Linked DNA regions of Struthio camelus. The protein of the gene in region 1 interacts with the protein of each later gene in a pairwise test. Links are inferred from orthologs where the notes say so. Each region holds a gene or a part of one and is shown in the gene's direction. Other genes may lie near its edges. The genes, in order: RABAC1, DUSP12, NIF3L1 and NDRG4.

Region 1 (7,427 bases):
AGGGAATTTGCATGGCGGCGCGGGGTGATGGATGGCGCGTCCCCGCGGAGCCACCCCGGTGCGCGCCGCGCCGTAAACAGGAATCAATCAGGGGGGGCCGCGGGGGGGCTGGGGACACCCTCGGGGAGGGCGGGGGGGGACACCGCGGCCCGGGGGGCGCCTGGCTCGGGGCCGGGGCAGGGGGGGCCTTGGAGTGCTCCTGGGGGTCCTGGGATGCTGGGGGGGGCTTTAGGGTGCTCCTGGGGGGCTTTGGGATGCTCTTTGGGGAGCCTTGAGGTGATTCTGGGGGGGCTTCGGGGTGCTTCTGGCTCAGAGCTGGGTATGGGGGTGTGCTTGGGGTGCTCCTGAGGGTCCCTGGGGTGCTCCTGGGGGGCTTTGGGGTAATGCTGGGGGGGCTTTGGGGTGCTTCTGGCTCAGAGCTGGGTATGGGGGGGGTGCTTGGGGTGCTCCTGGGGGTCTTTAGGGTGCTCCTGGGGGGCTTTGAGGTGCTTCTGGCTCAGAGATAGGTATGGGAGGATGCTTGGGATGCTCCTGAGGGTCCCTGGGGTGCTCCTGGGGGGCTTTGAGGTGCTTCTGGCTCAGAGATAGGTATGGGGGGATGCTTGGAATGCTCCTGGGGGTCCCTGGGGTGCTCCTGGGGGGCTTTGAGGTGCTCCTGGGGGGCCTTGAGGTGATGCTGAGGGGGCTTTGGGGTGCTTCTGGCTCAGAGCTGGGTATGGGGGGGCTTGGGGTGCTCCTAGGGGTCCTTAGGGTGCTCTTGGGGGGCTTTAGAGGTGCATCTGGCTCAGGGTCAGGGCTGGTTATGGGGGGGGGGGCCTTGGGGTGCTCCTGGCTCTGGGTTGAGGTTGGTTTCGGGCGGGCGGGCTGGGGCTGCCCCGTTGCCCCGTGTCCCTACTGACGGCCGCGGGTGGCCCCGAGCTCGGAGCCGGGCCCTGCTCGGGACAGAGCTGCCCTCGTGTGGGAGCGGGGCGCACTGCAGCGGGGCGGCCGGACGCCTGGGCCCACGCGGGCGGTGGGGCCTGTGGGGCGAAGCAGGCCCCCCCCCCCCCCCCGGACGCCTAGGTTCTCCCTCCGACGCCGGGGAGGGGGGCACGCCCCATAAGTGAGGTCACTGCAACCCCCCCACCCCCGGTCACAAATACCCCCAAATGTTCCCAAACCCCGAGCACCCCCACTCTGCCCCCCTGTCTGCCCCAATGCAGCCTGCTCTCTGCCCTATAGCCCCCCATCCCCTTCTGCTCTATAGGCCCCATATCCCTCCTCTGCCCCCAATGCCCCCCCTGCCCCGTAGCCCCCAGCCTTGTCTCTGTCCCCCATGCCCCACAGCTCCCATCCACTCTGCCCCATGGCCCTCTCTGCCCCATTGCCCTGAAATCCTCCCCTGCCCTATGCCCCCCCGCCCCATAGCTTTCAACCCCTCTGCCCCATAGCCCTCCCTGCCCCCCAGCCCTCTCTGCCCCATGCTCCCCTAGGCCCATAGCCCCTTCCCCTCATGTCCCCCTCTGCCCCCCATAGCTGTCTCTACCCCATAACCTCCACCCCTCCACCCCCATAACCCTGCTGCATGCCTGCCCTGCCCCATAGCTCCTAATGCCCCCCATAGCCCGTAATTCCCCCATGCCTCCCCACCCCATAGCTCCCAATGCCCCCCACAGCCCCCCTGCCTCATGCTTCCCATGCCCCATAGCCCTTAATGCCCCCCACAGCCCCCAATGCCCCCCACGCCTCCCCACCCCATAGCCCCCAATGTGTCTCATAGCCCCCTGCCTCATGCTTCCCATGCCCCATAGACCCTAATGCCCCCCACAGACCCCCTCCCCGCGCCTCCCCTGCCCCATGGCCCCCAGTGCCCCCCATTGTCCCCCCCGCCCCATAGCCCGGCGCAGCCCCGGCGCTGCGGGCGGCAGCCGATAAATCTTCATCAGGCGGCGGTGATTAACGGGGGGGCGGCGGGGAGCGGGACCTGCCCATTAGCGCTAATGGGAAGATGGAGAGGGGCTGTCGCCGCCGCCCCCGCGCCCCCCCCGCCGCCCCCGCGCCCCCCTCCCCGCCGCCGCCGCCGCCGCCACTCAGGGGCCGTTTCCGCCCGCTGCCGCCGGGGGGGAGGATGGACGGGGGGGGGCACCGGGGCAGAGCTAGGGGGCAGGAGCGGGGGGATCTGGGGGGCACCAGGGCAGAGCTGGGGGGGCAGGAGGGGGTGACTTGGGGGGAGCAGGAGCAGGGGGATATGGGGGGGGTCTCGAGGAAGAGCGGAGGGATCCGAGGGACAGGAGCAGGGGGCATCGGGGCAGAGCTGGGGGGCAGAAGTGGGGGGACATGGGGGGCAGGAGCGGGGGATAGGGGGGTCTCAAGGCAGAGCTGGGGGGCAGGAGCAGGGAGACCCAAGGGGCACTGGGGCAGAGCTGGGGGGCAGGAGTGGGGGGACATGGGGGGGTCTCAAGGCAGAGCTGGGGGGCAGGAGGGGGGTGACTTGGGGGGAGCAGGAGCAGGGGGATATGGGGGGGGTCTCGAGGCAGAGCGGAGGGATCCGAGGGACAGGAGCAGGGGGCATCGGGGCAGAGCTGGGGGGCAGAAGTGGGGGGACATGGGGGGCAGGAGCGGGGGATAGGGGGGTCTCAAGGCAGAGCTGGGGGGCAGGAGCAGGGGGACCCAAGGGGCACTGGGGCAGAGCTGGGGGACAGGAGTGGGGGGACATGGGGGGGTCTCAAGGCAGAGCTGGGGGGCAGGAGCAGGGGGACCCAAGGGGCACCAGGGCAGAGTTGGGGGGCAGAAGTGGGGTGACTTGGGGGGGCAGGAGCAGGGGGACCTGGGGGCCATCAGGGCAGAGCAGGGGGGCAGAGCTGGGGGGGCAGGACCAAGAGGGCTGAGGGACTCAGAGTGGGGGGCAGCCGGGGGGAATTTGGGGGGGAGGAACTGGGTGGCAAGACTGGGGGGGCTGGATGAGGGAGGAGAGACCTGGGGGGCTCAGAAGGGATGGGGGGTCTGGAGAGAGGGAGGGAGTCTTGGAGGGATGGAGGGAAGGATGAGTGGAGAGACAGGAGAGAGAGAGGTGTAGGCGGGTGGAGAGATGGAGAGGTGGAGGGATGGATGGAGAGATGGAAGGAGGGATGGAGGGGTTGAAGGAGGAAGAGGGAAGGGTGGATGGATGGAGAGACAGAGGGATGGATGGATGCAGGAGTGGATGGAGAGACGGAGGGATGGAGGGGTAGAGGGAGGGGTGGAGGGGCAGCCGGATGGATGGACGAGCGGATAGAGGGGTGGATGGAGGGAGGGGAGGATGGACATGCATGGACAGACAACCAGGGATAGCTGGGCAGAAGGTGGGGCCGGGCTGTGCCCAGGGTCCCACGGATGGACAGACAGTCCATCAGGTGCTGGGGGAGGACAGATGGACAAACAGGCACCGTGGGAGGACAGACTTGTCGCTGGAGGTCCTCAGTGGCTCTGGGGTGCTCCTGGGGACCCAAAGATCCTGTGGAAAGATCTCTTGAGGGGATCCCCAATGTCTCTTGAGGGTATCCTTGAGGTCTCCTATGGTCCTGGGGTTTCTCTGGGGTGTCCCCCATGCCTCTGGGGTGTCCCAGGGGTCACTTGTGGTCCTGAGGGTGGCTTTGAGCAGTCCCTGGGGTCCTCCATGGTCCTGGAGAGTCCCTGGGGGGGGTCCCTGGTGGGTCTAGGGTGTCCTTGAGGTCCTCAGTAGCCCCGGGGGGGGGTCTCCATGGGGGTTAGAGGGTCCCTGGTGCCTCAGGGGAGGTCCTGGGGTCCTCAGTGATCCTGGCAGGCACCTGGAGGTCCACGAGGTCCTCAGTGGTCCCAGGGGTCTCTGGGGTGTCCCTGATGGGTCCCCAATGGCCCTGGGAGTTCCTGGGGGGGTCCCCGATGATTCTGGGGTGTCCTTGAGTCCTCAAGGGACCTGCAGGAACCCTGGGGTGGCCCTAGAGGGTCCCTGAGGTCCCCAGTGGTGCTCGAGGGGCCTCTGGGGGAGGGTCCCAAGGGGTCTTGGTGGCTCTGGAGACTCCTTGGGGTCCCTCATGGTATGGGGGGGTAACCTTGAGGTGTCCCTGGGGTCCCCAAGTGTCCTGTGGGATCCATGGGGGGGGGTTCCCGGGGTCCTCAATGATCCTGGGGGTGTCTATGGGGAGGTCCTGGGAGGGATCCTGGTGGCTCTGGGGCATCCAGTTATCCTGGGGGGGTCCCCCATGGTCTCTGGGGACCCTCCACAACTGCCTGGATCGCGGGGGGATGGGGAGGCCACACCTCCCTCCCCTAAAACACCCCCATCCCCCAAACACCCCCGCCTTGCACCGTGCCCCCCCCCGCAACTGGGAGGAGGGGGAATAAACTACATCTCCCAGAGTGCCCCGCGCGGGGCGCCGCTCTCCCGGCATCCCTTGCGTCCCCCCCCCCCACGACGTCCGCCCGCGCCGCGGCGCCCCCCCGCGCTGCCACGCGGCACCGCGCTTCCGCCCCGCGCCGCGAGCAGGTGAGGGCGGGGGCGGGTCGCCATGGCGACGGCGAGCACTGAGGGGGGCGCCATGGCAACGGGGGAGCCCCGGTGGGGGGGGGGGGTCTGTCCCGGTTCCCGCCCCCCCAGTGATCCGGCCGCAGGCCCCATAACCCGCAACCCCCCCGCCAAAACCTCCCTGCAGCCCCATAGAGACAAGGCCTGAGCCCCCCCCCCCAAACAGCCCCATAGAGTCAAGGCCTGAGCCCCCCCCCCCAAACAGCCCTGCAGCCCCATAGAGACAAGGCCTGAGCGCCCCCCCCCAAACAGCCCCATAGAGTCAAGGCCTGAGCCCCCCCCCCCAAACAGCCCTGCAGCCCCATAGAGACAAGGCCTGAGCGCCCCCCCCCAAACAGCCCCATAGAGTCAAGGCCTGAGCCCCCCCCCCCAAACAGCCCTGCAACCCCATAGAGACAAGGCCTGAGCGCCCCCCCCCAACAGCCCCATAGAGTCAAGGCCTGAGCCCCCCCCCCAAACAGCCCTGCAGCCCCATAGAGACAAGGCCTGAGCCCCCCCCCCCCCAAACAGCTCTGCAGCCCCATAGAGACAAGGCCTGAGCGCCCCCCCCAAACAGCCCCATAGAGACAAGGCCTGAGTGCCCCCCCCCCAAAACAGCCCTGCAGCCCCATAGAGACAAGGCCTGAGCCCCCCCCCAAGCCCCTGCCCCAAATTAGCCCCCTCATGTCTGCAATGGGACATCCACCCCCCGACATGGGGGGGCTGCCACCCCCCCATAACCCCCCATTTCTTCCAGCCCCCCCCCCCGCCAGCACCATGGCGGGGAGCCCCCCCCAGGAGCATCTCTTCAACCCCACGACGGAGGGTGACCCCCTGGCCGGGCTGGGCACCAAGTGAGCATTGGGGTGGGGGGGGGCGGTGCTGGGGGGCACAGGGTGCCATGGGTCAGGGCCTCGGTGGGGCTGTGGCCGCCATGGGGCTGTGGGTGCCGTGGGGCAGGGGGTACGGTGGGCCGTGGCCCCATGGGGCGGAGGGTGCCGTGGGGCAGGGGGTGCCGTGGGGCAGAGGGTGCCGTGGGGCAGGGGGTGCCATGGGCTGTGCCCCCGTGGGGCGGAGGGTGCCGTGGGGCAGGGGGTGCCGTGGGCCGTGGCCCCGTGGGGCAGGGGGTGCCGTGGGCTGTGCCCCCGTGGGGCGGAGGGTGCCGTGGGGCAGGGGGTGCCATGGGGCAGAGGGTGCCGTGGGGCAGGGGGTGCCGTGGGCTGTGCCCCCATGGGGTGGAGGGTGCCATGGGGCAGGGGGTGCCGTGGGCCGTGGCCCCATGGGGCGGAGGGTGCCGTGGGGCAGGGGGTGCCGTGGCCCGTGGCCCGTGGGGTGGAGGGTGCTGTGGGGCAGGGGGTACGGTGCGCCGTGGCCCCATGGGGCGGAGGGTGCCGTGGGGCAGGGGGTGCCGTGGCCCGTGGCCCGTGGGGTGGAGGGTGCCGTGGGGCGGAGGGTGCCGTGGGGCAGGGGGTGCCGTGGGCCGTGGCCCTCTGGGGCAGGGGGTGTCGTGGGCTGTGCCCCCGTGGGGCGGAGGGTGCCGTGGGGCAGGGGGTGCCATGGGGCAGAGGGTGCCATGGGGCAGGGGGTGCCGTGGGCTGTGCCCCCGTGGGGCGGAGGGTGCCGTGGGGCAGGGGGTGCCGTGGGCCGTGGCCCCGTGGGGCAGGGGGTGCCGTGGGCTGTGCCCCCGTGGGGCGGAGGGTGCTGTGGGGCAGGGGGTGCCGTGGGCCGTGGCCCCGTGGGGCGGAGGATGCCGTGGGTCGGGGGGTGCCCCCGTGGGGCGGAGGGTGCCGTGGGGCGGGGGGTGCCCCCATGGGGCGGAGGGTGCCATGGGGCAGGGGGTGCCGTGGGCCGTGGCCCCGTGGGGCAGGGGGTGCCGTGGGCTGTGCCCCCGTGGGGCGGAGGGTGCTGTGGGGCAGGGGGTGCCGTGGGCCGTGGCCCCGTGGGGCGGAGGATGCCGTGGGGCGGGGGGTGCCCCCGTGGGGCGGAGGGTGCCGTGGGGCAGGGGGGGTGCCCCCGTGGGGCAGGGGCCGTGGGGCAGCGCGGCGTCCCGGCCGCAGGCTGGCGCTGCCGGCGGCGGCCCGGCGGTGGCTGGAGGGGCGGCGCGCGGGGCTGCGGCCGTGGGGCGCCTTCCTGGACCAGCGGCGCTTCGGGGCCCCGCGCACCTTCGGGGAGCTCTGCCAGCGCCTGGCCCACAACGGCGAGCGCTTCCAGAGCAACTACCTCTGCGTCTTCCTCGGCCTCATCCTCTACTGCCTGTGAGCCCGGGGCGGGCTGCTGTGGGGCAGGACGGGGGGGTCATGGGGTGGGATTGTGGGGCAGGACGCGGGGGTCATGGGTGGGATTGTGGGGCAGGATGGGGGGGTCATGGGGTGGGATTGTGGGGCAGGACAGCGGGGGTCATGGGGTGAGACTGTGGGGCAGGACAGGGGGTCATGGGGTGGGATTGTGGGGCAGGACAGCAGGGGTCATGGGTGGGATTGTGGGGCAGGACAGCAGGGGTCATGGGTGGGATTGTGGGGCAGGATGGGGGGGTCATGGGGTGGGATTGTGGGGCAGGACAGCAGGGGTCATGGGATGGGATTGTGGGGCAGGACAGCAGGGGTCATGGGTGGGATTGTGGGGCAGGACAGCGGGGGTCATGGGGTGGGATTGTGGGGCAGGATGGGGGGGGTCATGGGGTGGGATTGTGGGGCAGGATGGGGGGGTTCATGGGGGTGGGATTGTGGGGCTGCTGTGGGGCAGGATATAGGGTCATGGGGTGGGATTGTGGGGCTGCTGTGGGGCAGGATGGGGAGTTAAGGCTGGAGGCTGCTATGGGGCAGGATTGGGGGGTTCGGAACAAGGGACTGTGGGGCTGCTTTGGGGCAGGATGAGGGGTCAGTGCTGAGGGTATTGGGGGCAGTTGTGGGGCAGGGGGGACAGGATA
Region 2 (7,328 bases), on another chromosome or scaffold:
ATTTTCTTTTCCATTACAAACTAGAGCTGTAGAGATTTCTGCTGCCCCAGCCCTCCCTTGCGAAGCATGCTGAGATGGAATGCACTTAGTGGAGCGAGGGGGCAGCCGTCTGTCATCTGACTTGTTTTCCCTTGCACCTGAGCTTGCCCGAACCACTTAATTAGTCACACAGTTTCCTGGAACCCAGGGGAGAACAAACCGTTAGAAATTTCAGCGACGCAGGAGAAGACAAAGGCTGAAGGGGGAAGGTGGAGGTTGGGGAGAACTAGGGTTTGCAAATCAAACTGAGAAAACATATATTCTATTTTGGGACTTGTGAGCAAACTCAGGATTCGTAACCATATGCTCAAGCTGCAGGTGGCAAACACAGTAAAGGGGAGTACAGAAAAACAGCGAAGTTGCTTAGGGAGTACAGCCTCAGTCATGTGAAGCACTTATATGGCGAGCTGCCCACGGGCTCTGCCCCACGGATTTTGTACTTTCCCCACCACATATTTTCACTTTGAAATAGCAGCTTTTTCACATTCTGTCATCATCCAAGTCTCTGGGAGCCGATGCACAGGAGGAGCATAGTGGTCTCACTACAACTGCATCAACCCCGTCAAGAAGCAGCCAGCAATCTCTTCAGCATCTTTGAGCCCTGGCGTTTGCTTCTCCCTGTCACTGTTTTCATTTACAGACGGTGCTGTTTCCCTCCCCAATAAATTCACGGATTTTAAAGCTCACAGAGAATGATTAACCATCTCTTAGTACTCATATTCTCCCTGTATAATATACGCTCTCCATGTAACTCATGATTCCTTCAATAATTTGTATTTGTCTGCAGACTTGATTCAAATCCCTCATGAGATGAATAAACCATTGTTTCCCCAAGACAGGTTACTGCAATTATTACAATTACAGGTCAATACACAATTTGAGCTGGTTTTAATTTCCACCTATTTTTCTTTTCAGCGTGCTTTTATTTTATCCCTGTATCCCTGCTAGATTGTAGGGGCTTTTATTGCTTGATATTTTCTCTCTGTGAAGATACTTACATATAGTAAACAAAGCACTGTTCATTCTTCTTTTTGACAAACTAAGTGGTTTGAATCCTTCAAGGCCTGTTAGTTAGGTCCTTTATTTCTAGGTGGTGGCAACGGTAACTGGAAAAGGAGGATTTGCACAGATGACGCAGTTATGTAGCTTAAGACAATGGAAATTAAAGCTGTCAGAGACTCCCCTAACCCTGTTCCCAGACACACAGTCACACCCTTTCCTTCTGTCAGGTTCATGACATGAGGCAGTGAGGCAGTTCAGGGAGCTGACCCAGCTGAAAACTAATCCAGCCAAAAAAAGGGATTTGCTGTCAGCTAGATCAGCTCCCTAACAGGGCCACCATACAATCACACAAGCGCTAGTGCAGTGAAGCACACGAGATGAAGCAGGGCGACAGCAAACTTCAAGCTGTTTTGGACTCACATACTCAGAAGCCTCGCGGCCTATCTAAACTAAAGATCCTTCCCGGTCTGCTCCATGGGTAACCGCTGCCTAGCTCCCAGCACAAGGCTTGCAATGGATGCATGCTCCCTGCTGGCACTGGTGAAGGAGTCCTGGAAGAGCAGATAGGTAGCACCCACTGCAGGCTCTCTGCTTGGCTTGTCCCTTCTGTGGAGTGGTGGCTGCGCCCAGGTGCTCTAGCCCCTTTCACCTCTCCTGCTGGAAGGGGTAACAGTCTCCCTTCCCACCAGGTTTTAGTCTCCCCCTATCAGGTCAGTGGTGACAGCAAGTCTCACCTCCTCCATGGCCAGCTGGCCTCCCACAAGGAGGCCCTTTCAGACTGTTTTTACAACAGTTCTGCCTATAGCTGTGTCACGCAGACCTCTGCTAGAACAATCCTCCCAGAGGTAGATAACCAGGGCTTTCAGGCCTCCTTATCTCATGCAGGGAAGGCAGGGTAAGGTTACTTGTTGTCCCACCTTGCGGACAACACACCTCTTTCAAATGACATCTGACGTTTTACCTGTGCTCAGAAACTTGCAAGGCAGTATATGGGCCCTTCTGACTATGCCGGGTAAAACTTGCAACAACATGATAGAGATCATACTAGACCAAAAGAACCTTGATGAGAAAGTGTTGGGTTGGGTCTTTTGAGACAAGAAGGAGATGTTAAGGCAGTGGGTGTGTTGCACAGTAATGTTTTGCACATACATCCTGCTAAGAGCTAGAGGGGAATATCCTTGTCTACAGGAGAAAGAGTACACACTCTGTCTCCACCACAGGACAGGTCTGAACTTTATGGTGGGCAGTGGAAGCGGCTGCACCACGATTTCTGCATTACCCTATAATCTTCAATGGTGTCACACGCCTCAGAATCAAAGGTTACCAGAAGACAGGTTGCCTCTATCTGTACTGTATCTGATTTCAGTACCGAATGCAAATCATAGCCTGGTTAACAGTAAGAGATTAGCACAGAAATCTGGAGTTAGTTACAATTCCTGTTTTGCAACTCAGCATCTACCTGTTGCATGGGAGCTAGTACAAAACAGAAGAGCGTGACAGTTTTCAAGCTGGGCCATACATTTGACTTCCAGCAGCAAGAGCTTATCTGGATGCTGCAGACAAGGCCAGTAAGGAATTACTGGGGCTGGATTCCGTTTCAGAGTACAGCCAGAAGCATAGCCAGTCCCTAACGCGAATGACCAAAACGTTCATCGGAATGTAAAGTCTATGACATTAAAGAATGGGAGGCCTCAATCTAGAAGGAGTTAAAGCTAACTGCTGTTAGCTTTATTCTGCATGTTAGCTTTCCCTCCACCTATGTGGATGTGGTCATGTAACAGACCTTAGAAGCGAGCTGATTTCATTTCCCAGCAGATTTTCTGGGTGGTTGATTTCCTGCAGAAAAACTTAGCTCAGATAAAGAGCTCTCCTACAGACCAGTCAGGTATCCACACAGTAAACGATGGATCCTGAAAGCCCTACTGTTTTGTATTAATCTCTAGGCCAGCAATTCACAAACGGCAATCTGGAAACGGGCGTTGGTTCTCCAGGCTTTCCAGACGAAAGCTCCTCTCAGCCTCCATTCGTTACCACGCTTTGGGCAGAAACCTTAATAAAAGGTTTGGACATGCGGTGCTTTCCTGCAGTGACCGCGCTCACCTCCTGTCCCCTGGCATACTCCGATCCACAGCGGAGGCCGCCCTCGGGCAGACTCCAGGCCTGCCTTCCCGCAAGGGCAGCCCAGTGCCTCCACCTCAGGGAGTTACTGGACCGGTTGCTAGAAAAACACGCATTAGTCTCTCCAGGAGGATTTTCTCACTTTTATAGGTAGCTCATCTCCAAAGCGAAAGACTGCCAGCGCAAAATACACAATACACACTATACCTGGACCTCAAAAATACACGACTGATTTAAAAGTAAGGGATTTTAAGAATAACAAATTGGGAGATTTATTAAGAGTATTTCTTCATTTGTTTTCTGAGTATGTGAAAGATCGCAACGCATCAGACTTTCATGATCTTTCTGACTAGGAGAGCTAGAAACATTTGTGAGTCTCATTATGCCATTGGAGAAGTCGCCGGCACCAGCCTATGCGGCCAGTTGACTGCTTCTCTCTCTCTAGCCTCTTTATTTGTCTTGCTAAACGCATGTAAAAAAGTTTACTGTTTCCCCATCCCCTTCCAAGCAAAAATCTCCTTGGACAGAAGGGGTAAAACACTATCTGTGGGGAACCTTTGCTGGCCTCTACGTATGTCCCTCGCGCCGAGCATTCACTGAAGAGAACAAAAAGAAACGCCAAGGTTTTTCCACAAGCCAAAGCAACACAGGGCACAGGGCGCTGCTCCAGCACTTACACACCTGTGAATTTTATCATGTAAATTATTATGAAAATGATGGCAAGAGGGAAGAAAAAAGTTCTGTTTTGTTTTTAATTTCCTGAAGAAGGACCCCTTGCTCAGCTCGCTGCGTTCACCCCGCGGCCCCCTCGCCTCCCGCCACGGCGCCGAGCGCCGCCCGCGGCCTCTCGCCCCGCCGCGGCTCCCGCCTGGCCCCTGCCGGCGACACCCGCCCCGCTGCCTCCCAGCACCGCCATGTTGAGAGCGGCGGCACCCGCTCCGCCGCCATGTTGAGAGCGGCGGCACCCGCTCCGCCGCCATGTTGAGAGCGGCGGCACCCGCTCCGCCGCCATGTTGAGAGCGGCGGCACCCGCTCCGCCGCCATGTTGAGAGCGGCGGCACCCGCTCCGCCGCCATGTTGAGAGCGGCGGCACCCGCTCCGCGGCCCCGCCCCGCCGCCATGTTGGGGGCGGCGGCACCGGCCCCCGCCGCCATGTTGGGAGCGGCGGCGTCCTCCTCCGTCGCCGCGGTCCCGCCATCATGGCGGCGGCAGCGGGCGAGGGGCTGGGCGGCGGGATGGTGCCCGTGCTGCCGGGGCTGTACGTGGGCGGCGCCGAGTCGTGCTCGTCGCCGGAGGCGCTGTCGGCGGCGGGGGTGGTGGCGGTGCTGACGGTGGGCGCGGAGGAGGCGGCGCTGCCGCCGGGGGTGCGGGCCCTGCACGTGCGGGCGCGGGACGAGCCCGGCGCCGACCTGCTGAGCCGCCTCGACGACTGCGCCGCCTTCATCGGCGCCGCCCGGGCCGCCGGCGGCGCCGCCCTCGTGCGCTGGTGAGAGGCGGCGGGTGGGGGTGGCCGCCCGCTCCGGTCCGGTCCGGTCCGGTTCGCTCCGGCGCGGCCGCCGCCCACAGCCCCGCTTTGCCTTACAGCCAGGCCGGGGTGAGCCGCAGCGCCGCCGTGGTGACCGCCTACCTCATGAAGAGCGAGGGGCTGCGCTGGGAGGAGGCGTACGCCGCCGTCAAGGCCGCCAAGCCCGACGTCGAGTGGGTGCCCGGGCCCCGTCCGCGGGGCGGGGAGCGGCCGCGGGGCCTCTGCCCCCTGCCCGGCCCTCACCTGCCCTCTGCTCTCCCCTGGCCGCAGGGTGAACCCGGGCTTCGAGTGGCAGCTGAAGCTCTACGAGGCCATGGGCTGTGCCGTGGACGTGAGCAGCGCCCTTTACAAGCGGTACCGCCTGCAGATGGTCACGGAGAGGTACCCCGGTGAGTACCTCCGCCTCCCGCCCGTGCCCAGGGAGCAGCCGAGGCTGAGCCGAGCTGGGTTTGGGGAGCAGCCCGCCAGCGAGCCGCGTCTCGTCACTGAAGTTAGGCTTCGGTGAACACCTGAAACTGGATACAGACTTCTGGGGGTCTCCCAGGGATGGGTGGTGCCAGGTGGATCACGCACGGAGGGGCTTTGGTCGGTCTGATGGGCTGTGGGTCACACGGCTCTGTGCACTGATAGGCAGCATCCGGCACCTGCTGGCATCTTCCTGATGTGCAGTCAGTTCAGATTATCTTGGGAACCGTGTGCTGTGTTCAGGGGTTGTCGCTACTAACCCGTGTACTGCTCCTCGTTCTGCTGCAGAACGTGGATATTTTTAACTGGTTGTACCTCAGGAAGACCTCCGGTGTCCAGTGTGCTGCATGAGGGCTGCGTGTGATCACGATGATGGGCCGTGTTTCACTGATTTAAAAAAAAAAAAAAAAAAGATTTGTTTCTGAACCTACTTGCTGTCCTTTCGAACAGGTTGCAAACTGGTGAATATTTTCCCATAGCTGGAGTTCCCAGCACGTGCCCTTAAATTCTGTGTCCTTAAATGAGCACAGAAGCGCATGGCAGAGGAATGCCTCTTTACAGAGCTCAATGATGGTTTGTTGACTGAGTACTTCTCTCAAAGTAGCTGAGCCTTGAGTTGGCTAGATTAACATTCATGCCATGTTGACTCTAAAGAATCCTAGCTAGTCATCGGGGGAAAAAAGTCATTGAGACATGTCTGAGAAATAAGATCTGTAATGAACTGTTCTCTGCATCAAAATGCAGAAACAGCGAAAGTCAACTTTATGTATTTCTCGATTTTTATGTGCCTTTCAGGCAAACTGAAAGTCCTCTAAAAAGAAGTCAAGGAAATCAAATAAAAAGATAAAAGCAGAGCTAAAATAACATAAAGTTGAAATCAAGGTATGAAGTGAACTTTCGTAGTCTGATATGCAACAGATTGACTTCAGTGGATATATATATATGAGTGTGTATGTGTAGTTCTGTTATAAAAACTTTCCGTAAAGTTAATCTCAGTGGAATGTCTCTCTTGCACTGTTATGTACCGAGTATAATAGAACTCTCTCTCTTATTCTTAGCAGGTTCCATTCATAAGAGTTGGTTTTATTTCTTGTATGCGCTAAAAGATTGGAAGAACTGTTCTGACTACCTCCCATGTCTTTGCTCCGTGTTTAAATAAGAACATAGAGGAAAATTCAACTCTTTTACCATTGTCAAGGCCAAATTCTCGATTCCAGTTCCTTACATTAAGTGAATCCTGATCTTAGATATAGTGAGATGAGACTCTCTTTTTTAGAATTCAACTAATGGCATTGGTAAATGAACAAATGAAACGGAAAGAAGGTAGTCTTTACATAGTCTGACTAGGGCAAAAGCACAGCCCTGTCTTGTTTCACTGAAGTGGATCATGGGTTAATTGGTTTGATTCACAGCTTCATACTGTCCCCTCTGCAGAACTTCAAGACTTGCCCCGAGAAGTTTTTGCTGTTGATCCAACCAGTATGTGTCAAACTCCAAACATGGAGGTTCTCTACAGATGCAGAAAATGCAGGTACTTTTATATTCCCCAAACCTTTTATATTCCCCATTAAAAGTCATTTTGAGTAAAGTCTTGAGAGAAAAATAATAGTACATGTGACTCAATGGATATGTCATTATTTTCAAGACAGGGATAAGATCTTGTGTAAGTTTCCGTACAGTGTGTGACACAGAAATCAGACAAACAAAAGTGTTTTATGAAACGCAAAGCCTTCTGTTCCTTGAAGTTGTGCAGTACTTGTGGAGCCTCAATTGCTAGATTCTATAATCAGGCATAATTCTGCCTGGTGCTGTGAAGTCGCTTGCTCTTAAACCATAACTTCTAGTTTCGTTTTGAAAATGGGCTTCTCTCAAGGAAACTTGTTGTAGATGTTCAGTACTACATTTTAACTGTCTTTTATGAATTATGTAAAATGACGTTGAAAAATCCTGTTGTTCCCTAAGTGTAGATTTTTTTCACATATATGAGCTTAGATTTCAAGTTTTAATAGGTGGGACTTGTCTAAAAATAGATCTGTAAAAGAAACAACATACCGCTGTGGGACAGAGCCCAAAGCTACATGAATGACTGGATTTGTTTGTTAAGAAGCAGCCCTAAATGGAGTCAGTGCCTGTTGACCTTTTAGACTAAGTTTAAAAAAAAAGTAGGCTGTGTAATCCT
Region 3 (8,000 bases), on another chromosome or scaffold:
TAATAACATCGCTTCGCTGTGCGCTTACGCTTTATTTCACAATTACAAAACGGGTATTTAATCTAGCGCAACACAACATTGATCATTCTCCAGCCTGTAACGAAAATGTATGTGAAAACATAGCTGCATATTGACAGCACAGAAATACCTTCAGATATTCACTGAATTCATCTTCAAACTTCCTGCCCCAGATGCTGTTACCTCCTTTCCCAGTGCCTGATAAAGAAGTACTACAATAGATTATTGGATTCTCAGACTGAAAAAATTCAGAAATGATGCATCATTCGAACACATTACAACAAACACACTAGAAACACTATAAACTGCTTGAGGCAGGGCTCAGGTTCTCATGTCTCGATACTGAGCAGAGCACCAACTCAATAATATAAACAATGACTATTAAGTAGCAGAACAAAAAACAGATATCCTCAAATTCAATTCAATACGAGTGCAAATAGACACACAGGCGAATCTGACTTTCTCCTAAATAGTTGACACTGTCTATTCCATTTCCCAAAACGCTAGAGAGAATTTTTAGAGGCAGCGTAGCCTTTTAGGCAGAAACCAGAATAACAACTACTGCCTGTGCAAGCGCTGGTGAGTCAGCAGAACCATCCTATTCAGTGAAGACGGCTGGAAAAATTAAAGTCTGTACAACGCTTTACCACTGCTTGATTGTCTGGAGGTAGGGCAATGGCTGCTCTTCTGTAAACTCAGCAAAGAAAACTAGCTACATCATTAAACCTTCTATCAACAATACAGTAATTCTTATGTTGCATCCCATCTCCGACAGAAGGATTTACCTAATGGATCCCCTGTCTGAACCATGAAGCCCTTTATATTCCGGTGAAATACGCAGCCATTGTAGTAGTTACTAGCACAAAGCGCCAGGAAATTCTAAGGAAATGAAACACAGCACGTTAGCAAACAAGTCAGAAATAATATCCTCTGTAGCCAAAACCACAGCACCGACAAGACTAGCTCTTCTGACTCTGCTTTGCACTGTGAGCATGTCACGGCATTAGTCAACTGCCACAGACTATTGGTGGCTATTAAAAGATACAAATAACCCTCAGGTCTTTCCCTTCCCTTTTCAGGGCTTGCCACAGTTACAAAACAGTACCGAATCCAGTAAGTATGGTCTATACGTTACATTAAAATCAACAAAGCAACACAGATGCTGCCTACGTAGAGCATCACAGAGAAAATGCATCTGATGGGGGCTTCATAAATATTCTCCTTCAGCTCAGTGCAGGAACATGTATCTTTTTTAAAGGACCTCATACCTCAGATAGCTGAGGAACCACTATTTGCATACGGACAAGAATTGTTCACCGTTTCGCAAGGAAAAAGTCCTTCAAGATACACTATTTCACTGAAATGTAAATGTGGGCTGCCCAGAACGTAAGATGAAAGTGTTGCAGCTGAAACCAGGAAGATCCTAAGATTTTAAAATTTAAAAATTTTCAACTAGAACAGTACTTATTCCTGGCTTAAGCAAACATTAAAACTACAGAATTACAAAATAAAGCAAAAAGTTCATTTAAAAGCTACTTTGAGGTCATAACCCTTAAAACTACCATTAAAACATCATGTGTGGCATTTACAACCAAAACAGACATGGCTGTAAATAACACCATGAGAAAAGTCTTTTACAATATGCAGTTTCAAGACATCGCAGTTTGTGTTTAGAGCTCCTGTTTTCTTGGTTTCCCACAGACTCAAGTTTCCTACTGTCCTGGCTAAGGACAGGTTAAAGAATCAGTACTCTGAGAATCCTCTCTTCGCACACGATAGTCATTCTCAAATCATGGTTAAGACACAGTTCCTTTGACACAGTCACAGATGCAAAGGATTTTAAACAAAGCTTACAGCACAAGGTCCTCTGAGTTAAGGAACAAACACAGGGATTCTTGAGACATGCTCAGAGGCATCCCTTGCATTCAATATTTTTATTTTTTTTTTAAACTGTACCGTAACTTTGCAATCCATAGCCAAGCCTGAGCACAGTTAGTTAAAAATTACTTTCAATTTAAGCTTAAGTTTATTGCACAAAGGAAAACTGGGGTCTCTGACAAACTGTGAGCGCTTCTCACTTCTTTTTAAAAAGTAAAGTTTTATATGAGTATGGGCAAACCCAGGGAAGTTTGGGAATCCCAGGCAAAGTCCCACGTTTCCCCTTAAGGGCAAAGGACACTTTGGGAGATGCTATAACTCGGAGAGAAGTGGCCCTTAGCTAAACCTCAGCTGGAAAGAAACAGACAGCAAAGCTCTAGACAGTACAACACAGTACACAACAAGTTCCACAAGCTGAACCAGGCACTGCACCAGCTTAGAATGTCAATATTCCATTATATAAAACAATGAATTGGAACACTCATTTCACCTTCTCTATGATCTTCACTACTTCTACTGCTTTCTTTCAATACTACACAATCCCGCTCCTGTTACGTGACTTACTTCGCAAGTTTTCGGTGTTCGCTCACAGAATAATTCTATTTTAATATCTCCTACGTCAGTGTGCAGCGTGACAGCCTGAACAAGAGGCAGAAAATAATAATTAAACCACCAATGAAATACAAACAGCTGTACACTCTCTTTTATTTCCCGGTCCTACCAAGAGTGCAAGCAACTTCCCACTGCATATAATCATTGTTTCAATACCTGGTCCTAAGCAAGGCTACCGTCACAGACCATCTACGTTTCCAGTGAAACCATCAGAGAGCACTGGATTCAGTAGTTTCAGGACAAATCACGTTCTCCACGGTAATGGAGCTCAGATGCATGCTGCTACTCTCCAAAGATATGTTATTTATCTGCATAAAGTCACAGGTAAACTGAACCTACTCAGTCACACGTTTGCACAAGTTGAAGAACTGAGTTTATTTCTGTTTCGTGAGATGAAAGCGTGCTGCACGTACCTCACTGGTTTACAGCCAGAGGAACAAGTGCTGTGCATCACTAGACTGCAGCCTTTTGAGTGATATCAGGATAGTTCTGAATGGCACCGTAAATAATCTGCCCTCACAAACGAGTATGTCCGCAAAATTATGCACTTCTCTTCAGAGTTTATAAATAGCCTTATTAAATTTTAAGAGGCCAGTGACCCAGCCATCAATGCAGATGTCTTTCTATGGGCCCCAAAACCTCACAGTACTCCCAAAGAAAGTGCTAAACTATGCAAAGATGATTTACTGTGGGGATATACTGGGGATATATGCACAAAAAGACTAATAAGAATCAGCATCGTGTTGATGCCGGCATACTGTTACATACATACATACATATATATATATATATATACACACACACATACACACACACACACGTGTGGGTGTTTTTATATTCATATGTTAAATAATATCACATATCATATGCATAGCAAGTAATATATAACACAGATAATGCAAATACATTTAAAAACTTGGTATACAAGTAAAGAAGAAAAGATAGTTGCTTGCAATGTCCATGAAGATACTATAAAAGTTGTACAACCAGTTTAAGATATAGTCTTATCTTTATTTCTCGACAGATACATTTTCAAAAGCCTACAATTGTAGAAGCTTACGTATATTCAAGCAGAGCTTTGTGCTTGCAACTTGAACAGTGCTTCTGTAGTAGAAGAAATCAAACTAGATGACCAAATATTAGTCAAATTAGGATTAAATCGTAATGTCTTAGAAGTCTAATTGTATATTTAGATTGACGGAACAATAACACTGACATATTCTCCTTTTCACAGTATTTTGTGTAAAGTCTGAAATGGAAAGCAGAGCTTTTCATCACAAATTCTTCACAACGTCAAAGTAAAACGCATAATCACTTGGCACGCAGAGCAGCTATGCACTTTTCAAAGTATCACGATTTAAGAAAATCAGAAAGAATATAAAAAGTGATACTGATCTCACCATGTCTGCTCATCAAAAAGCTGAGGTAATTTGTATATAGCAAGTTCCTGCAAAGAAAACATATGCAATTTGTTGGGTTTTTTCCCACCAGTCCCCAGTTCTTTCTGATTCTAAAATATTTGTGTGGTTACTGAAATGATCAGCTTTTCCACAGTACACTTTTACAGGGTCACTCAAGTCACGCTGTGTGGCTCAACATTTTACTTACATTATGTAACTAACCAGCACATAAAGAACTAGAAAAGAGTAGAAAAAAACAGTTCAGAGAAAGAGCAGGGACAAAAAATAGCCTTTCGTAAGAGCTGATACTAAACAATCACAACTTTTTCAGGGATTAGGCTTATATGCATCACAAAGGTTAACAGATTAAAAAAAAACCAAACGCATGCCAGTACCTGCACAGAAGTTTAATCTGGAGCCACCTTCTGGTGGCTGTCAGCGCCTGCGACGAACAGGTACCTGCATCCAAGCACAGGAGCAAACATTTTTTAAGCTATTCACATTTTTAAATAAGACGTTTCGAATTGTGACGATAAAGTCACCGCGAGGGAGCCCAGCGGCCGCTAGCGTGGCCGAGCCAGGGCTCACTTTCGCCTGGCCACATGGGGGCCTCGTACAAACCTAGCGCTGCCCAGGGCCGCTTTCTCCAAAACCCCGAGCCCACGCCGCCGCCCTCGCCGCCGCCGGGGAGAGACCGCCCCGCTCAGCGCAGGCGCGGCGACCGCGCGGGACGGGGGCGTTAACGGTCGGGGGGTGTGGGGGGGCGTTAACGGTCGCGGCCCGCCCGGAGATGGCGGTAGCGCGGCGGCCGCTGCTCCCCGCTGCCTTGGTGCCGTCGCCCAGCGCGAGAGGCAGGCGCTCCTCGCGGCGGTGGCCGCGGCTCGTTTTTCGCGCGTGGAAACCGATGAGGCTGTAACACTTTCGGTACCGTTTCGCAGTACTCTGCTAGGTAGTTTCCGAGGTTTCGCCGGAAGGGCCCTCCGCAGCGGCGGTCAGCCCGCATGCTCAGAGGCTGCTGTTTCAGCTGAGGAATTACCCAGTCTTCTTCCCTTTGCCTTTTCCCCGCCCCTCCGCAGGTCGCCGCATGCTGCCGCCTTGCAGGCGGCTCCTTTGCCGTGGCATCAGGCCCCTGGGCCGCTGGCCTTCCCGCTCCGCCATGAATCTCGGGGAGCTCGTGTCCGCCCTCAACGACTTCGCTTCCCTCTCTCTAGCCGAAAGCTGGGACAACGTGGGGCTGCTGGTGGAACCGAGCCCTCCCCACGCTGTCAACACCCTTTTCCTAACTAACGACCTCACGGAGGGGGTGATGGAGGAGGCAGTGCAGAAGAAGGCAGATCTCATCCTTTCTTACCACCCTCCCATATTCACGCCACTCAAGCGAGTAACGTGGAAGACCTGGAAGGAGCGGCTGGTGGTCCGCGCTCTGGAGCACAGAATCGGGATTTACTCCCCGCACACCGCGTACGACGCCATACCTCATGGAGTCAATAACTGGCTAACAAAGGGACTTGGTGAGGTTAAATATTTTTCCAGTACTTCTAAGTACGCTAAGCTTATTTTAGAGAATTTATCTTGGTGAGATGTACCAGGTACAAATACCTGTGGACATTTTCAGATGCATGCTTGCGCTACTGGATGTAGTTAGAGCTGGTGCAGCATGTTTATTGCATACCTTGATTGAAGAGTTTAAACTGCTGACTTTAAATCACTGACACTGATTTATAAAGTGCAAAGTCTAGTAGTTCCCACAGCACTTTAGATAGCTGAAATCCTTTAGATTTTTATTCTGTGTTGTAGCTCATAAATGAAAACAGCTATGTTTTTTCCAGCCTGATTTCCAAACCAGAAACTTAAAATTTTATGTGCATTTTTTAGGGGAGAACTTGAATGGCTTCAAGAAGGTACAAATAATATATATCCATCAAGGTATCTGCACTTAGAATAGACTGTGCCCAATGAAGACAACAGGGCAAGAGGCCCTAGTTCTGGTCATGGAAAATGGATTCAGATGCAAAATTTGCTCAAAGTTGCATCCCTTTTGGATAAGTCACTAAGCATTTTCCATTTGTCACTTCTCCCTCTGTTAAATCAGCATAAGGATACTAATCCAACTTTACAGCGAAGCAAACCTTGTGTGCTGTTTTCTCAGGAGCCTGTACGTCCGTCCCACTGCATCCATCGGCTGCTCCAAGCTATCCAGCGGAGGGCACCCACCGGGTAGAATTCTGCGTAGACAACGGTGAGCATCTAGAGACACTGCTGTCCAAAATCAAAGGCATCCCAGAGATCTCCTCTGTCACTACTCTCCCCGCCAGGTATCTGCTTCACTCTCTAATGTTGTCTTCTTTCTGTTGCTTGAAAGAATACATTGCCAGAACTGTATTTTACCATTGTAGTCATTTTCTTCCTCTGTGTCTTGCTGCTATTCTTTCAGAAAAGATCTAGAAGTTCACAGGATAATTATTCTTTTCTGATCAGTCCATGTGAGGTTATACTAAATGGTAACTAGCAACTCAGTGTAGCATCACATGGACTAGAGATGGTAAGGAAGAGTTGTAACAGGAAATTCAATGAGGACAGTTGAGTTAAATTTCCATATTTGTTTTTTCCATAAGAGTAGGCTAGACTATTACCTTGTCTCCTTTTTCCCTTTCTCTGTGATAGAATGGCTTTATATTCTGTTAACACGATGCTGAAATTTTATCTGTTTTCCTAGCAAGCCCAAAATATATCTTTCCTCAGGGTTGAAGGTGAAGAACAAACACGAGTCAGTTTAAACTGCTCTCAGAAAGCACTGCTGGAGGTGGTGGCATTATTGTCCAAGAACAGCCTTCTTTATCACAAGACTGAGATTTTGTTATTAGAAAAGGTAAAAAAAAAAATGCAGTGAATGTGTTACTTGCGTGAGCTGACTGCCGTAAAGACTGAAATCTAATAGTCATCACAGTTTTCCCATGCTACCTGTCAGTGCTCTGAAATACTGGCCTGTGGGGATTTGAAACCACACACATTTTTCAAAACAGTGAAAATATCTGCGTGACCTGTACTAATTCTTAAAACGATTCCAATAGCTAGCGAAGTTACTTCTTTACATTCTAGAACATCATGTATATGTTTCTTTTGCAAAGTTCAGATGACTTCATTCTTAATACCCAATATGCTCACCTTTCTATAGTTATGAAAAGCAACGTGAGCTTCTGGAGTCAGCTTTCTCAGAGTAATTTTAATTTCTCTTCTCTTCAGCCTCTTCTTCCACATACTGGAATGGGACGTCTGTGCACATTGAGTGAGCCAGTCTCCTTGTTAGCCATAATCGAGCGTATTAAAAGGCACCTAAAATTAACCCACATCCGCCTAGCTGTGGGAATGGGGAAGACACTAGGTAAATAAGCTTGCAAGTTTGACTGGACATTAAAACTAGTGTTCCAGGAATATGAAGAGAGTGAATGCGTGTGTGGGTGTGTGAAATACTGCTGCTTTGAACAGGTTTGCTTCCCAGTAGTATGAAGCACGATTAAAGAGACAGCTTTTTAGAATTTATGTGATACCGTCACACACAAAAATGTTATCTGTACTTCTGGCTACAAGTTCTGCATTATGCTGGTTGTCACTGCGGAGGAAGGGCAGCACAAGCTGAACGTGAGACATCTTTTTTCATAATTTGCCTAATATGACTAAGACTTTTTTCCCCAAGATTTCAGACACAAATGCCTATCACTTTACTCCCTTTTGTGACTGAATGTTAAGATGCAAAGCACCTTAAAATAATAAGATGCTTTATAGTATTCTTACAAACCTGTAGCTATCCATGTTTCATTGAAAGAGGAATAGGAGAAGAGAAGTTAGCTACCCTAGGTCAAACAGTGGGTCAGCAGTAAAACCTGGAGCAGAGGTCCTCTTACTGCAGTTATCTATCCTAATCTCCAAGGAACACAGCTATTAGAATCTGTGAGAGCAAATTTGTTCACACCTTTTTATAAAAATGTCCTCAGGAGAGAGAAATCTTCTTAGAAGCCTCTGATACTACCAATTACATTAAAACAAAAACCTTTATTCTGAAGCTGCTCAGTGTTCTATGGGATTGCAGTAGAG
Region 4 (7,337 bases), on another chromosome or scaffold:
AGAGAAGGGCCCCCATGCCTCTCTGCTCCAGGCACCCATTGATAGGGGCTTAGGCAGCTCAGGTGCTAAGGATCTCAGCTAGAAAGGCAGCCCATTGCTCTCAAATCAGGTTTATTTGAGCATGGTGACTCTTGGGGAAGAAGCTGGGCCCTTCTGGGAGCAGCAGTGCCAGGAGATATTTGAGCAGTTGCTGGGGTTTTGCTTCATTTCCGGTGGCTCTGGCAGAATCTGCCTGCTGCAAACTCTGCTATGCCAAACCGAAAGCAGAGCAGCTGTAAGGAGATCTGCGAAGGCGGCTTTGAGCCTGGCAGCCCGTTCCTGGGCCCAGGCGCTCCATGCCTCAGTTTCCCTACTGACAAATCCTGCAAGAGCCCGGGCTGTGCTGAGTGCGGTGAAATCCTTAGGCAGCCCCGTGGATGTTTTTGGCTTGCAGTAATATGCAGTCTAAGGATACAGGTAGATGGTACAAACCCCCACCCCCACTCCTGCACTAAACCCCTGGGCTTCAGGGGAAAACTGTAGCCCCTGTCAGCCCCACATCAGGGTCAGAGCAGCTCACTCCAAGTCTGACCCAGGCCCGTGCACTCGGATCAGCGCTGTCTGCACCATTCTGGACACGGCAGCAAGTGCCTGCTACAGAGCCATGACTCAGAGCCACTCAGGCCATGGGACAGACGGGAGCTGCTGCTTTTGCAATGAAGAGAGCCCTTTCCATGCTCCCTGCGCCTTCGCTGGCATTGGCGGGGCCATGGAAAATTACTCTGCTCTGTCTGTGGTGTAGTAAACCGATGCATTGGGGAAGGAGGGGGCTGCGAAATGATGTCGGCCAGGGTGTGTCCTTGGAAAAGACACCAGGCAGCCAGGGCAGAGGGGTCCAGATCACAACTGGGGGGCTTAAAATAGCATCTCCTGCTGCATGCCATCTGGCTCGGCCCCCTCTGCTCACTGTGGGAGGAGGATGGAGGCTCACCCAGGCATGAGAGAGTTAATGGCCCTGCCTTTGCCTGCTGGCTGCACCCTCCGCTCTAACCTGCCAGCCTGGAGAGGCAGGGCAGAGGCTCGGATCTAGCAAGTGACACCGTGTTTCTTGCCACCTTTCCTACGCTGATGAGTAGAAGGAGCGTGGTCGGTCTTATGACTGAGGCTTGACTCACCTCGTAGCATCTGGCACCTTCTCCCACCTCCCTGCTTCCCATCCCGCTGCGGCCAAGGCAGATGCCCGGCACGCTGCAGCCCACTTGCTGCAAGTCCAAGGTGTCCCTGGGCTGCTTGGACTCTGCAGGGAGCTTGCAGGATACTGCTCAAACAGCTGCAGCCCAACTTCAGCATTTGGGCTGGCAGCAACAGCTCCAGGCAAAGGGCTCCTTGGGGCCCTGCCAGACCACCAACACCCTGGGAAGCGTGGGTGCCAAGGCAGTGTCTGGCAATGAGGGTGTGAATGTTGGCGAGTGTCACAGGTCTACAAGTGGCATCTTCTAACCCCCTGCCAGGTCTGGGGAGCCCTCATTCAGGACTGTGACCTCCCTTAGGCTGTCTCTGGAGCGAGACCTTTGTCCAATTAGTTTAGTGTCGCATGGCTGAGCTAAAAGCACAGTGCAAAGCCATGCATGTAGAAAATGCCACGTTGACCTGTATTAAAAGCACAATGCGAAACAATGTGGAAAAATCCATGCTGTAAAACTCGCTTCCCTTTAAACACACAGTTCAGGGTGCAAGCTGCTCTGCATCAGCAGGTGGTTTCTGAACTCTCACATGGGTTTATGCTCCACTGTCTCCAGCTTAATGCGTGGAGAGCTTGTGCTCTTCCCAGGCCTAATTAATTGTGCAATTATTTCGGCCACATGGTTGGCTCCTTTGACAAGGTAGCCATCTAAAAGCTGTTATTGGATAATGTTGGACTTGATGCAGACAGGATAAATCCTCAGTATGAAAACCATCTATTCTGGTACAAAGCCATGGCAATCGGAGGAGTACGTTTAGATTTGCACTGGGTGAGGACAAGCCAAAGCTGACCCTGACTGGTTCAGAGGAACCCCTTGGCTGTTGGACTTGGAGACGGGGTGAAACACAGCTCTGAAGGTAGGGAAGATCTGACCTCCACAAGAGCAATGCACTTGGCTGGCTCCTAGCTGAGGGGTTAAATGGTCCTTGTGTTCCCTCCCAGTTTTTTTCTGCCTCATAGGTGAGAAGGTGAATGCAGCCCGGGATGCTGAGCTATGGGTGACTCAATGGGAGAGGCTGAAATCAGCTCAAAACTGATTGCCGTCCAAAAAGCCAAGGACAAGCTGTTAAAACAGATGTACCAGGAATGGAAATTAGTGCCCGTATCAGCAGCGTGTATCTTCCCAGCCCCTTAGCAGGAGCTTGTGGGATGAGCTGTTCACTGCCTGCAGCCAGGAGACATGCCTATAACTGAAAGGTGTCATGAAGTAAATAGATGCACTGGCTGCTGTGGCCAGCCATGAGGAGATGAGGCTGATGTCTAGGACACCGGACTTGATATAGTTGCCAAAGCAGTCCTTGGGCATCTGCCGCATCCTGGGACTTTAGGGTTGAGGGCAAACTGAGATCTCCAATTGAAGGTGGTGCTAACAAAGCTAGAAATGATCCCCTGCATTGACCCTCTGAAGATGCTAGCACTGCTCCAGAGGCCCTTAGTTGATAGTAACAGGGACCACCAAGAAATCCCTCTCCAGCATCAGCCTGGTCCTGCTGCCTGCCAGTCCCCCAGGACCTCTGGGGCAGAGGTTCTCTCCAAGGTCCCAGCACCAAAATCATGATCCTCCTGCAACATCTCACATGGACCTCTTCTGGTGCACGAGAACCTGAACCTCACTCATCCTACAGGAAACTTTGACTTTCCTGTGCTGACAAGTAAATAGCACTCAAATCCAGGATAAATCAAGGTCATTCCCTGGCTCATGCACACCTTATTTGTAATGGAGACATGAAATGTTTTACCTGGAAATTCCTGGGGAAAATGTATAATAGGGGATAGGAGCGAGTGCTACCCTGGACACCAGGTCAGTCCATGGTCCGAAGCCCATGGAACAATCTGCAGCAGGACCCCTGAGTCCTCCCATGTGAGCCCAGCGTGGGGCTGGGTTTGATAGGGAACTGAGACCACTGAGGGGAGGTTTAAGGATCCTCAGTGATTGCGGGGGGGGGAGTGTTTTAGAGAGGGCCAATTTGGGGTTTTGAATGAGATGTCCTGTACAGTTAGCTCAAGTAACCTGGGGCTCTTATGTTCTTAATTGTGGAAAAGCACATTAAAATCTCACCAAATAGCTACATAGGAGGGAAAATAGGCAGGTTTGGCTTGGCTGGCTTGGTCCAGCTCAATTCCTCACGGCTGAGGATGACAGGGATGAGCACTCTGGGCAGGTTGGGGCATCCATCTTTGCTGGACCCGCTCTCCTGATTCAGGACACAGCTCTGCTTTATACCCTGCCATTGTGGGAGCCCCTGGCTCTTCTAGAAAGCTGAGCACCTTGGAAAGGGTGGTGGGTGAACCTCCATGTACCAGCTGCCCCACAGAGCTTGTGGCCCCAATGGGGCAGGATCACAGCCCAGCCAGCACAAGCAGAGTGGAGCAGCAACGGCCTTCGTGCCCTGTGCAGAAGGAGGGAGTCCTGCATCTTTGCCACTGTGGGCCCTTTCCAATGCTCTCCAGGCCCACGGCACTGTTCCAAGCCCCTGGCTTTGCCTGACCCAAATAGCTACCTCGCAACCTCTTGCTCCACCCCAAAGAGCTGCCACCGCCTTGACTTCCAGCATCCATGTGTATGGGGCCACTGCTGTCCCAGCCACAGATTCCACTCCTGTCTCCCCCTAGACCTCTCAGGCATCACTGTCCCCCTCCATGAGACCCCCCCTCGGCCCCTTGGGCATCAGGGCCCTGCTCCAGGGGCGCCAGCTGCACAAGTTCCCCTTGTCCCCTCCCCCCCCAGGTGCATTGACCAACACTGTCCTATGCTCCCAGGGACCTCCAGGCACCTTGGCCATCGCTATCCTTGCTCTCAGGGGCCCCAGACCCCTTGCTCCTGGGGCCGCCGGTTGCACAGCCCCCCGGTGCCTCGCGGGGCGATGTGCTCCCCCCGGCAGCACGGCATCCTCCGGTAAATCGCTCCCCCCGGCCCAGGCGGGCGTGGCGCGGCGCGGACCGTTGTCCCCCCGGAGCCCCCCGGCCCGGCCCCGTTCCCGGCGCCGTCCCCTCCCTCCGGGCCCGGTGAGGGGAGGAACCGGCCCGGCGCGGGGACCGTGCCCAGCCTCGCCCCTGCGCCGCCCCGCGCGCCTCGCTCCGGCTCCGGCTCCGGCTCCGGCTCCGGCTCCGCTCGCTCTCCCGCGCCGGGGCCCGCCGCGCCCCCCCGCCCGCCGGCGGCCTCGGGACCCGCCGCCCCGGCATGAAGGTGCTGCGGCACAAGATAGAGCTGCTGACAGGTACGGCGCGGCCCCGGTTTGGCCCGGGCGTTGCGCCCCGCTTCCACCTGCCGCTCGGCCGCAGCGGGGGTTTAAGCCCGGCAGGACCTCGGGGCGCGGCCGCGGCTCCGCTGCGGCTCCGCAGGCTCGGGGGTGAGCGGCTGCTTCGCTCTGTGCTATGGGGGGGGGGGGGGGGGGGTGTCACGCTATTGCTTCACTTTGCAGTTTGGGGGGGCTGAGCTCTTGCTGGACTTTGCAGGCTTTGGGGCTGTGCTATGGCTTCACTTTGAGCTGTGTTGGGGGTCACGCTCTTGCTTCGGTTCGTGCCGTTCTTGGGGTAGCCCTGTGGCTCCGCTTTGCTGCCGCCACTTTTCCCCTCTCTCCTCCCCTCCAGAGCTGGGCCGTGCATGGGGTGTCTGCTGCGGTCCCCTCCCTGAATCACGGCTGGCAGCTTTTCCATCCCTGAACAGCACCTGCTGTGAGCGGGTCCCCCTGCCGCCGCTCGCCTCGGGGGCCTGCATGATGTCGGGGGCCACGGGGGTCACGGGGGCCAGCGGCCGTCCCTCCGGGAGGCCGCAGATGTGCCCTGAGTGACGCAGGTAACTTACACCGTCTCCTCCTCCCCCTCGCTGTCCTGGGGGGCTCTGGAGCGCTGTCTCGGGGGCCGTGCGCACCCGCTGTGCCAGATGGACATGCAGTGGCCTGCTCCGGCGGACGGCACGACACGGTGGTCAGGTGCTCCAGGAGCTGGGTGCCCAGGGCTGCGGGGTGCTGGGCTTTGCCCCCAAGCTGAGGAGGAGCCTCGTGGGCTGGGGAGAGATTAACTCTGGCGTAAGCAAGATGGGGGGGGTCGCGATGCCCGGGGTGCAAAGAGTCCTTTGATCCCTGCCAGCGAGCTGGGACTGCAGGGACCCCCACCTGCCTCTCCCCACCATGAGAAGGCTGTTTGGAGGGAGGATGTTTTGGGGGAAGGCTGGCGAGGAGGAGGGCTGCAGCTGGGGAAGCCCGGCTTGGTGGCTGCCAATGGCAGGGACCAGGCTGGGACTGTGTCACCAGCCTCCTGGTGCCGGGGGTCCCGCGGGCTGGGGTCTTTCTGCTGGGCAGCCAGCATGGCATGTTGGGGGAGGGTGCTGGGTGTGCATGGGGCCGCTGAGCATCCCTTCGGTGCAGCCTCCGGCCCGCGTGGGGCCAGGCAGCATCTGCTGCTGTTCGCGAGCCTCCCTGGGGTGTCTAGCTGCTGTGTTGTTTCCTTCCTGGTGCCCTGAGGAGCAGGGCTGGGGAGGAGGTTGCTCGTAGCAACAGCCACTGCCGAGACAGCCGGCATCTTCACACAGAGCCCCGAAAGCGCCAGGCCCAGCATCGCCTTTGGCTTCCCCCCCTGCATCGACATGGCCTCATCTCCCAGCCTAGTGGGGTCTCACGTCTCTGCCAGCGCAACCCTTGGGCTCCCTGGCATCTCATCGCAGTTGTAAAATGCCCTGAGCTCTCACCGATGCTCGCCGAGGTCCTTTCCTCCCTGTGCCGCTTGCACGGGGCTGTTGCTGATAGTCGCAGCCCTGGTAAGTGAGAGGCAGCCGTGGGAGTTGAGGCCAGCAGAGCTGGGCGCCCTGAAGTGCCACAGCTGACTTCCCCACACGTGCTTTCGCAGCTGGCTGTGTGTGCTGTTATTAATAATAATGTTAATAACAGTAATGCATTTCCCTGCCGTAAGCCGCTTCTACTCCAGTAGGCACCGCTCGGCTGCAGCTCCCTGGGGAGGGGGAGCCAGCGTGGCCATTTCCACTCACATCTGCGTGTGCGATGCCAGGACCATGTCAGGGCAGAGCACCGGTGGGCTGATGCCACAGCACAGCCCGCAGGGACAGCTGCAGTGGCCCTGTCTGGGGGTCTGTGTGTCGCTGGGCACAGTGGGGTCCTGCGTGCAGCTCCTATGTCTCTGCTCGGCCCTTCTCCCCCTCCCGCTGGGAGCCGTTTCCTTTCCCCTTTGGAAGGAAGTTTTTCTTCCTTTTCTGGCACCCAGTTAGAGCCTATCCTTGCAGGATGCAGGCACAGGGCTGGATGTTTGCAAGGGCTCAAGCTAACATACTGTGAGAGCCTGGGATGCAGCTGCAGGCTTAAATTGTTGCTTGCAATGGCCTACGAGGGTGCAGAGAGTTTCTTGCTTTGACGTCCTCTTAGCATGGAAGGTGGCTGGTGCCGTGCTCTATTTGGGATTGATTTGGGATTTTGGAGGAGGTGGTTCCTACTCTGCCCAGGAAATGGTGGCACAGCGTTGGGAAGGCAGAGCAGGGGCAGATGCGAGTCTGTGGGGGGTGAGAGCATACCCAGACAGTGGGTGCTGCCTGCTCTCAGAGGTCAAGCTGTGGGGGGAAAGGATGCTTTCCCAGCTATGTTGCCTCGGCATGGGACAGGATCGCTCGTGCCCCATGGTTGCATTAGGGTGCACCTGGTGTGTCACGGTGCCAGGCTGCAGAGATGCCCAAGCCACACAGCCAGGACCTCTCAATGTCCCAAACCTCTTGGTGGCAGATGCTGCATCTCACAGTGCTACGCGTGCATGAGGCTCCCCCTTCGGAGTGCTTCCATGCTCCCCCTGCTGCATTTCGAGAAGTGGGCTCAGGCCTGCCAGGGCACCCACCACCCGCTCCAGGCACCCAAGAGAGGGGTCCCCAACCAGCACCCAGGCTGGCTGTGCCCTGTCTGCGGGATCTCACTGCCTCCCTCCCACTCGCAGTGTGTCTGGGTTGCCCTTTCCTCTCCAGGCTCCGTTACAAGCTCTCTGAACCCACCAGCATTGCCCAGGGCCACTAATGGGGTGGCAGCAGCTGCCACCTTAGCCACAGACCCTATCTTTTGCATTGGGGGCCGATGGGAGGGCCCAGTGCTATTTACTTCTCCCCCAGTCTCCATTTTAAGTC

What was found.
Region 2: the proteins of RABAC1 (region 1) and DUSP12 interact in binary tests that used the Homo sapiens proteins (3 or more experiments, as listed by UniProt). The two-hybrid records come from large-scale screens. The link is inferred for Struthio camelus from reciprocal best matches to the Homo sapiens genes RABAC1 and DUSP12.
Region 3: the proteins of RABAC1 (region 1) and NIF3L1 interact in binary tests that used the Homo sapiens proteins (3 or more experiments, as listed by UniProt). The two-hybrid records come from large-scale screens. The link is inferred for Struthio camelus from reciprocal best matches to the Homo sapiens genes RABAC1 and NIF3L1.
Region 4: the proteins of RABAC1 (region 1) and NDRG4 interact in binary tests that used the Homo sapiens proteins (3 or more experiments, as listed by UniProt). The two-hybrid records come from large-scale screens. The link is inferred for Struthio camelus from reciprocal best matches to the Homo sapiens genes RABAC1 and NDRG4.

What each region holds. Positions count from the first base shown.
Region 1 is NC_090980.1:287,039-294,465, forward strand, and holds the start of RABAC1 (prenylated Rab acceptor protein 1), read left to right. Parts: upstream 1-4,423; 5' UTR 4,424-4,483; intron 4,484-5,258; 5' UTR 5,259-5,278; coding exon 5,279-5,355; intron 5,356-6,558; coding exon 6,559-6,756; intron 6,757-7,427. UniProt on the Homo sapiens protein: General Rab protein regulator required for vesicle formation from the Golgi complex. May control vesicle docking and fusion by mediating the action of Rab GTPases to the SNARE complexes.
Region 2 is NC_090942.1:92,202,881-92,210,208, forward strand, and holds the start of DUSP12 (dual specificity protein phosphatase 12), read left to right. Parts: upstream 1-4,321; 5' UTR 4,322-4,358; coding exon 4,359-4,645; intron 4,646-4,743; coding exon 4,744-4,857; intron 4,858-4,954; coding exon 4,955-5,073; intron 5,074-6,583; coding exon 6,584-6,680; intron 6,681-7,328. UniProt on the Homo sapiens protein: Dual specificity phosphatase; can dephosphorylate both phosphotyrosine and phosphoserine or phosphothreonine residues. Can dephosphorylate glucokinase (in vitro).
Region 3 is NC_090947.1:10,509,893-10,517,892, reverse strand, and holds the start of NIF3L1 (NIF3-like protein 1), read left to right. Parts: upstream 1-4,992; coding exon 4,993-5,419; intron 5,420-6,057; coding exon 6,058-6,223; intron 6,224-6,650; coding exon 6,651-6,777; intron 6,778-7,151; coding exon 7,152-7,290; intron 7,291-8,000. Other genes in the region: PPIL3 (peptidyl-prolyl cis-trans isomerase-like 3), read right to left, coding at 149-216, 804-897, 2,461-2,535, 3,909-3,911. UniProt on the Homo sapiens protein: May function as a transcriptional corepressor through its interaction with COPS2, negatively regulating the expression of genes involved in neuronal differentiation.
Region 4 is NC_090951.1:30,455,021-30,462,357, forward strand, and holds the start of NDRG4 (protein NDRG4), read left to right. Parts: upstream 1-4,337; 5' UTR 4,338-4,403; coding exon 4,404-4,440; intron 4,441-7,337. UniProt on the Homo sapiens protein: Contributes to the maintenance of intracerebral BDNF levels within the normal range, which is necessary for the preservation of spatial learning and the resistance to neuronal cell death caused by ischemic stress.